2 linked regions of the Coturnix japonica genome follow. The protein of the gene in region 1 purifies or fractionates together with the protein of each later gene. This does not show direct contact. Links are inferred from orthologs where the notes say so. Each region holds a gene or a part of one and is shown in the gene's direction. Other genes may lie near its edges.

Region 1 (4,093 bases):
CAACAAGCAGCAAAGGAACATGGATGGCTGTCCAACACAGCACATTACAACAGCAGCTTGCAGCTCAACACGCTTAAGGGGTCAAGAACCCCAACAAGCATCGCCAATGAATCATTAAGAGAAAGCACACAAGACATGGCAGCTTCAGTAACAGCGATTACAGTGCGTATCTCCAATTCCCCACTCCCTCCCATCTGAAAAGCTGCCTCCAAACTAATTGCAAACTATTTCTATGAGAGAGGATGGCTTCCAGAAAGAAAGAAATGTGTCCTGCTGTTTCTGCTTCTGAGTGACACTGAGAGCTGCAAAATACATCAAGCTTTAATATAACTCCAGCTCCTCTTTTATTGTAAGAAACTGCATAGGTCGCACAGCAAGGATTGATTGCCAAGCGTAACGGGAATGTCATAAACTGAAATGGAAGTGAATTACAAAACACTGCTGACATATGCTCTGAAAACAACCCTTTTCTGATGTTATGTATTTTTTACCACTATTCTTTCCTAGCAAATAGCTGAGTTCAATAACCAGAGAAGGAAAGAAAGATTACCTGTGAGATAACATTGTATATACACCATTAAACACAAGCAACTTTTCTGAATAATAATTCCTGCCATTCAGGTGTCTACATCCCAAAACCCAACCCTGACCTGGCAATCCCCTGGGACTGCAGGACTCAGACCTCTTATAGAATCATTCAGGCTGAAAATGACCACTCAGATCCCCCAGCACAACTTGAACTAATCCAACCAAACTGACCTGACCCAACCCAACCCAACCCAACCTGATCCAATCCAACCCAACCTGATCCAATCCAATCCAACCAACCCAATGTGACTCAATCCAAATGACCCAACCTGAATCCAACCCAACATGAATCCAACCCAACATGAATCCAACCCAACTCAACCAACCCAACCCAACCAACCCAATGTGATCCAACCCCACCAGCCTGACCCAACCAACCCAACCTGAATCAACCCAACATGACCCAGCCCAACTTGTCCCAATCCAACCCAACTTGCCCCTCCAAGGTAAGGCAGCCCCCATCCATGTAGCACACACACAGCTGACATCCCCCTGTGCACACACTGCAGCATGGCTCAGGCCCCTCCTAGCGACTTTATTAGCACTCGTCCCCGTCATTAACGACACACAGGGCCTTACATGAAACACGGTGCGACTGAGGCTCACCCATTAATAGCACTTATGGGCTTTGATCTCCCCCTCTCACCTGCCCCGCTCCGCTCCCGGCCGCCCCGGCCCGGCTCCTCCCCTCCCTCCGCTCTCCCTTCCGTGTCCGCCTCGCATGCGCACAGCGCCAATATGGCCACGCCGGCCAAGCGCAGGGCAAGGCCTGCAGCCCCGGAACGGGACTCGGGATCGGATTCGGAGCCGGAATCGGGAGATTCGGAGTCCGAGGAGGACGAGCAGGTGGACGAGGTGAGCAGGGGGATGGACGGGGTGAGCAGGGGGACGGGGTGAGCAGGGGGATGGACGGGGTGAGCAGGGGGTTCCGTTTGGCCGGTAGGAGAAGTTACCCTACTAAAATGGGGGTGGGGACAGGCTGATGGTAGCAAACCTTATCGTCTCTTAAAGCCCCGGCTCCGTTTTCCTGCTCGCCAAATCCGCTTAATTTTCCCTATTTTTGTAGGAAGTGAATGTTGAATTTGAAGCGCATTCAATATCAGACAGTGACTACAACGGGATAAAGAAGCTGCTGCAGCAGGTACTGTGCATCATGTCAGCAGGGATGATGCTTATGTGGATAAACAGCTGCAAGGAGGCAGCAGCTCACATTGTCCGTACTGCATCTAAACCAGCCTTGCTTTTTGTTTTCCAGCTGTTTCTAAAAGCTCCCGTTAACACCGCGGAGTTAACCGATATATTGATACAACAGAATCATATTGGAAGTATCATCAAGGTAAGGCAGAAGTGGCTGTTGTAAATTAAGTACAACGTTGCTTGCTTTGAAATGCAGCATTGCATTTCTGGAAGTGAGTCGTGTCTTCAGTGCTGTTTGTAACTTGCTTGACTTTGTTTGGGGATTAATTCTCCTGTTGGACCTGATATTTTCCATGCCAAACAGTGAAACTGGTTTATTGTTATGTGCAATTTATAGAGTCATAGACTCACAGAATGGCCTGGGCTGCAGAGGCCCACAGTGATCATTCAATTCCAACCCCCTGCTGTGTGCAGGGTCACCAACCAGCAGCCCAGGCTGCCCAGAGCCACATCCAGCCTGGCCTTGAATGCCTGCAGGGATGGGGCATCCACAGCCTCCAGTTTCCTCTTGTGGGCTTTAGAAAGGACCCTGGAATGGGTCCTGAGTTTTTCTGCCCAGCATTAATATGATTCTTAGGTAACAAATGTATCTTCTGGAAAGCAAACAAACATATTCCAGTGCAAGGAGTGGAAATAGAATGTCAGTGTGAATTATTTCTCTTTCTTTCATCAAACAGCAAGCAGAAGTACAAGAAGACAGCAGTGATGATGATGATGTTGATGATGATGAAGTCTTTGGTTTTATAAGCTTCCTAAACTTAACTGAAAGGAAGGTTGGTATTCCTGTTTAACTTCTGGGCTGATGTAAGTGTGGCTGTGTTCTGCTTTTCTGCTTGGAACAGCATGTTGTGATAGTTGGATGAGGATTCTGAATCCTGCTGTGGAGGATTATGGGCTTGGAAGTTCTGCATCACTTCGGTTTCTTTTGGATCTAGTCCTGCATAACTTGCTGAAGGTCAGAGAATTGAAACAGAGAATTAAGACTGATCTGACCAGTATTTCCAGGGCGGCTGAGCTGCCTACTCTTCCATTTCTTTACTTCCATCTTGAGCAGCTGTTGAGTTTTGCTATTAAATGTTGTGGTGTCGTAGCTCCTCACTGCGCTCCTGTCAGTAAAGAATTTTTGGTTTCACTCTTCTTCAGGGTTGCGGAATTGTGCATTGCTTCAGGAACCACTAAAGGAGTCTGTCTATAGGACTGTTGGATCCTCCCTTGAAGCTGGTGATTTTCTTGTGTAAACAGTTGTTGTGTAACATAAAGAATGTGTGCCTTTCGATTCTAGGGTACACAATGTGCTGAACAAATCAAAGAGCTGATTCTAAGTCGGTGTGAGCAAAACTGTGAACAGCGCGTGGTTGAACAACTGGATGAGCTCCTGAAGGATGATACTAAGCCTGTGGGTTTGCTGCTGAGTGAGAGGTTCATTAATGTACCACCACAGATTGCTTTGCCCATGCACCAGCAGCTTCAGTAAGTGGTTTTCGCTGTGTTTTATTTCATGTTTTATTTCGTGATTAACATGAAGATGATCAATACTTCATATCTCTTGTATAGTACTGTGGTAAGAGAACTGATGCTCTCAGTAAGACGTAAAAACAAAAAGATGATTTTCATCTGTAAGGTCTATGGTTTCACTTAGTTTTTTAAACACCCTTGGGCTTTCAAACTGTGCTCTTACAAATAATGTGCTGTAATACTGTCTTAGCTACTTCCTTAGAGAAAACCAGCTATGTTATAGTTCAACTTTGTATTACAGTCTGTTTTTACTTTCAGCTGGGAGAAGTTAAGGGACTTAAGGGTGTAGTACAAATGGACTTTCTAAACTAACACACTGTGGGATTTACACTTGCTGAGGCTTTTAATTATGGACACTCATGATTAAATGGTACACCTGAATATTTATTTATCTTCAGGAAAGAATTAAAGGAGGCGCAGAGAACAAACAAACCTTGTGGGAAGTGTCACTATTACCTTCTTATCAGCAAAACCTTTACAGAAGCCACAAAGAATTCTAAGAGGAAAGAAGGGAGAAATCAGCAGAAGGAGGAATTAATGTTTGCAAATGCAGAGGAGGAATTCTTTTATGAGGTAACGTACACAATTCTATTACTTTAAAATGTTGATTTTTTCATTGCAACACTTGCAAAAAAGGTGTTTCACCTAAACTTCCAAGGTTACTTCCAAAAATACCACAAAATGAGGTGCTGTTTCAAAACGAATCAGAGGGGCACTGGTTTCTCCTTTTGCTTTTTATTCTGATGCCATTAAGCTGTAACAATGGCGATCATTTTAGTATTTAATGTGAATT
Region 2 (4,282 bases), on another chromosome or scaffold:
CATGTTAGAAATAAAGGCGCTGTTCTGCTGCAAACAGCCGTGTTGGGTCCCTGCTGCGTGGGGGGCAGCGCGAGCTCAGACAGGGCCTCGAGCCGTGCCGTGCAGTGCTGTGCTGTGCTGTGCTGTGCTGTGCCGTGCCGGGCCGTGCTGTGCCGTGCAGTGCTGTGCCGTGCAGTGCTGTGCTGTGCTGTGCTGTGCCGTGCTGTGCCGTGCTGTGCTGTGCTGTGCTGTGCTGTGCCGTGCCGTGCTGTGCTGTGCCGTGCTGTGCCGTGCTGTGCTGTGCTGTGCTGTGCCGTGCCGTGCTGTGCTGTGCAGTGCTGTGCCGTGCAGTGCTGTGCCGTGCTGTGCCGTGCTGTGCTGTGCTGTGCCGTGCAGTGCTGTGCTGTGCCGTGCTGTGCTGTGCAGTGCTGTGCTGTACCGTGCTGTGCCGTGCTGTGCTGTGCAGTGCTGTGCCGTGCAGTGCTGTGCTGTGCAGTGCTGTGCTGTGCTGTGCAGTGCTGTGCCGTGCTGTGCTGTGCCGTGCAGTGCTGTGCCGTGCCGTGCAGTGCCGTGCCGTGCCGTGCCGTGCCGTGCAGTGCCGTGCTGTACCGTGCTGTGCTGTACCGTGCTGTGCAGTGCTGTGCCGTGCTGTGCAGTGCTGTGCCGTGCAGTGCTGTGCTGTGCTGTGCTGTGCAGTGCTGTGCTGTACCGTGCTGTGCTGTGCTGTACCGTGCTGTGCTGTACCGTGCTGTGCAGTGCTGTGCCGTGCTGTGCAGTGCTGTGCCGTGCAGTGCTGTGCTGTACCGTGCTGTGCTGTACCGTGCTGTGCAGTGCTGTGCAGTGCTGTGCTGTGCTGTGTCGTGCAGTGCTGTGCTGTACCGTGCTGTGCTGTGCTGTGCTGTGCTGTACCGTGCTGTGCTGTACCGTGCTGTGCTGTACCGTGCTGTGCTGTGCCGTGCTGTGCTGTACCGTGCTGTGCTGTGCTGTGCTGTGCTGTACCGTGCTGTGCTGTGCTGTGCTGTGCTGTGCCGTGCTGTGCTGTACCGTGCTGTGCTGTGCTGTGCTGTGCAGTGCCGTGCTGTGCCGTGCTGTGCCGTGCCGTGCCGTGCCGTGCTGTGCAGTGCTGTGCCGTGCAGTGCTGTGCCGTGCCGTGCTGTGCCGTGCCGTGCCGTGCTGTACCGTGCCGTGCTGTGCTGTACCGTGCCGTGCCGTGCCGCACCACGAAGACACTGGCGGCGGCTGCCCATGGGCGGCACTGCGGCTACGGCTGGAACGGCAGGTCGGTGGGCTGCAGGCGGGGCTGGGAGCAGCACACGGAGCAGCACACGGAGCAGCACACGGAGCAGCACACGGAGCAGCACACGGCAGCTGACCCTGCACGCTGCACGTTTTCCTGCAGCCGCTCCCGTCCATCCGGGCGGCGGGGCAGCAGCAACTCCCGTCCCGCAGGGGGCGCTGTTCCTCCTGGCGCTCCCGGGGCCGCTCTGTCCCGCTCCTTCCGCCGTCAGAAGCGGAAGCGGCCTCGCCGCGTGGGGTTGGCCGCGGCCGCCGCTCCCGGTCGTGCATCTGTCCGTCGGTCCGTCGGTCCGTGCCTGCTCGCAGCCATGGCCGTCCGCGCCAGCTTCGAGAACAACAACGAGCTGGGCTGCTTCGCCAAGCTGACCAACGCCTACTGCCTGGTGGCCATCGGCGGCTCCGAGAACTTCTACAGGTGAGAAGCCACGAGGGCCCGGCCCAGCCCGGCCCGCTCCCTGTGCCCGCTCCTAACGGCGCCTTGTTGTTGCAGCGTGTTCGAGGGGGAGCTGTTCGGGACCGTCCCGGTGGTGCACGCCTCCATCGCCGGCTGCCGCATCATCGGCAGGATGTGTGTGGGTGAGTATGTGAGTGTGTGTGGGTGAGTGTGTGTGTGTGAGAGTGTGTGTGTGTGAGAGTGTGTGTGTGTGTGTGTGTGTGTGTGTGTGTGTGTGTGTTTGTGGGTGAGCGGCCGGGAGGAGCGGAGGGACGGCGGGGCCGTGCCCGCCCCGAGAGACCCGCAGTGCGGTGCGGAGCGCGGGGAGACGGCGGCGCTCCTCGTCCTCGGGGGGTTTATTTGGTCGCACCGTAGGGATGTTGTAACGCTGGAGAAGATTGTAGAATCCTTAGAGTTGGAAGGGACCTCTGGAGGCCATCGAGGCCAGCTCCCCTGCAATGAACGGGGACGCTACAGCTTGATCAGCTACCCCAGGGCCTTATCCAACCTCGCCTTGGAAGTCTCCAGGGTTGGGCCATAAAACACATCCCTCAGTAACCTCAGCTCTTCCTGTGCCTCACCACCATCGCTGGCAATGATTTTTAAGGCTCTTCTGTACTGTTCTGGATACAGTACTCCAGGTGAGGCCTCAGTGCAGAGCAGAGGGGCAGGATCACCTCCCATACTCTCCTGACCTTGCATCTTTTGATGCAGCACAGGATACATGTGGCTTTCTGGGCTGTGCGGGCAGTTTCCAGCTGTCACAGTTTTGTGCCCACCAGCTTCCAATCCCCCAGTGCCCCCAAGTCTTTCTTGGCAGGGCTGCACTCAGTCCTTTCATCCCCCAGCTTGTATTGGTAACAGAGGTTGCCTCAACCCAGGTGCCAGATCACACACTTGGGTTTGTTGAACTTCAAGAGATTCACCTGGGTGCATTGCTCAGCCCGTGCAGGTCCCTCTGGATGACATTCCATCTTGAGCATGTTGCCCCCACCCTGCAGCTTGATGTCGTCAGCCAACTTGCTGAGGGTTCACTCGACTCCACTGTCAGTGTCACTGATGAAGATACTAAAGAGTATCAGTCCCAGCACTGACCCCTGGGGGACACCACTCATCACTGAACTCCATCCAGGCCATGAGTCATTGACCTCTGCTCTTTGGACTTGATCCCACAGTCAGTTCTTTGTCCGTTGAGGAGTCCACCCATCAAATCTGTATATTTCCAATTTGGAGAGAAGGATGTTGTGGGCACTGTGTCAAAGGCCTCACTGAAGTTCAGATAGATGACATCAGTGGCTCTTCCCTCATCCACTGATGTAGTGAAATAAAATAAAAATCAAGCCTGGCCAATAGAAACAAACGAAACCCAACAATAAAACAGCCACCAAAAATAGGGTTAGAGGGAGTGCCTGCTGGTCAGGACTTGAAGAGAGGTCAGTGATGTGCATAAATTGGTTTTTGTAGTAAGCAGGGAGAAGCCGCTCTGTTTCACTGGGAGGTCAGTGATTCAGAAACATTGCTGGAGGGAGCATTCCAGATGTGAAGGGCAAAGAGAGGTCTTTCACTGCCTGGCTGTTTAGTAGAGCACACTTGGTGCTTGCTGTTTGTTCCTGGGCAGCCTGTTCACACAGTCTTACAGCCTTGCTAAAGGAAAGGAACAAAAGCGAGCACAACATGTAGGCTTTATGGGGATGGTCAGTGTCTCTTGGGGGGAAAGCATACCAAAGTGTTTTGTTTAGAACCTTGTGTGTCCCATTGAAAAGGCTGGATAAAAGTAGTGCAGTTTACCTGTTTATATTCTGAAGTCTTTGTTTCATCTTCGTTTTCCCCCTCACCTTTGCTTTTGTATTAATAAATGGTCACGTTATTTCTGTGGGACTGAATTTAGGGCTTGAAAAGAGTGGATAGGGGCCCCACACCATTGTGTGAGCATCATAGTGAGCACGATGGAAATATTTGCTTTTTTAGAATTACCCAAAGGTGGAACTCTTTGTTTTCTTTCTCCTTGTCTTGTTTTTGGGTCATCTTAGGGAATAGGCACGGACTGTTGGTCCCGAGCAGTACAACAGACCAAGAGCTTCAGCACATCCGTAACAGCCTTCCAGATTCTGTGCGAATTCAGCGAGTGGAGGAGCGGCTCTCGGCGCTGGGCAATGTCACTACCTGCAATGACTACGTAGCTCTCGTTCATCCGGATCTGGACAGGGTATGTGGCTTCTGAATTCAGTGTGGATGCATCTGATATTATTCCTAAGTTGCAGTTTCAGCTTGTAGCTATTGGGGATTACTGTAAGTAGTGTCAATGTAGGAGAACTATACTGACAGCTGAGCTAGCATCACGTAGGAAGCCGTGTTCCCTGTTTCCTTTCCTCTCAGGAGAGAAATTACAGTACTAGATTTTGAACTTATGACTCAGTTTCAGTCGATCTGTTTCTTTTCCTATTGTTATCTTTACTTGTAGGTGTGGATCCTGTCCTAGGTACATAGTGTGCATTCTGCATCCAGCATGCTGTAGTTAACTGTGCTTATAGAAAGAAAGGAGTGGGATATGGAAGAGTACTGTGAGATGCAATT

What was found. The genes of interacting proteins can lie anywhere in the genome.
Region 2: the proteins of BCCIP (region 1) and EIF6 purify together in Homo sapiens (affinity purification with mass spectrometry; 3 studies listed by BioGRID and IntAct, counting the BioPlex papers as one, with this or other methods). This does not show direct contact. The link is inferred for Coturnix japonica from reciprocal best matches to the Homo sapiens genes BCCIP and EIF6.

The regions. Positions count from the first base shown.
Region 1 is NC_029521.1:28,918,594-28,922,686, forward strand, and holds the start of BCCIP (BRCA2 and CDKN1A-interacting protein), read left to right. Parts: upstream 1-1,292; 5' UTR 1,293-1,326; coding exon 1,327-1,443; intron 1,444-1,654; coding exon 1,655-1,729; intron 1,730-1,843; coding exon 1,844-1,924; intron 1,925-2,462; coding exon 2,463-2,558; intron 2,559-3,067; coding exon 3,068-3,255; intron 3,256-3,698; coding exon 3,699-3,873; intron 3,874-4,093. UniProt on the Homo sapiens protein: During interphase, required for microtubule organizing and anchoring activities. During mitosis, required for the organization and stabilization of the spindle pole.
Region 2 is NC_029535.1:1,201,138-1,205,419, forward strand, and holds the start of EIF6 (eukaryotic translation initiation factor 6), read left to right. Parts: upstream 1-1,475; 5' UTR 1,476-1,583; coding exon 1,584-1,690; intron 1,691-1,765; coding exon 1,766-1,851; intron 1,852-3,738; coding exon 3,739-3,914; intron 3,915-4,282. UniProt on the Homo sapiens protein: Binds to the 60S ribosomal subunit and prevents its association with the 40S ribosomal subunit to form the 80S initiation complex in the cytoplasm. Behaves as a stimulatory translation initiation factor downstream insulin/growth factors.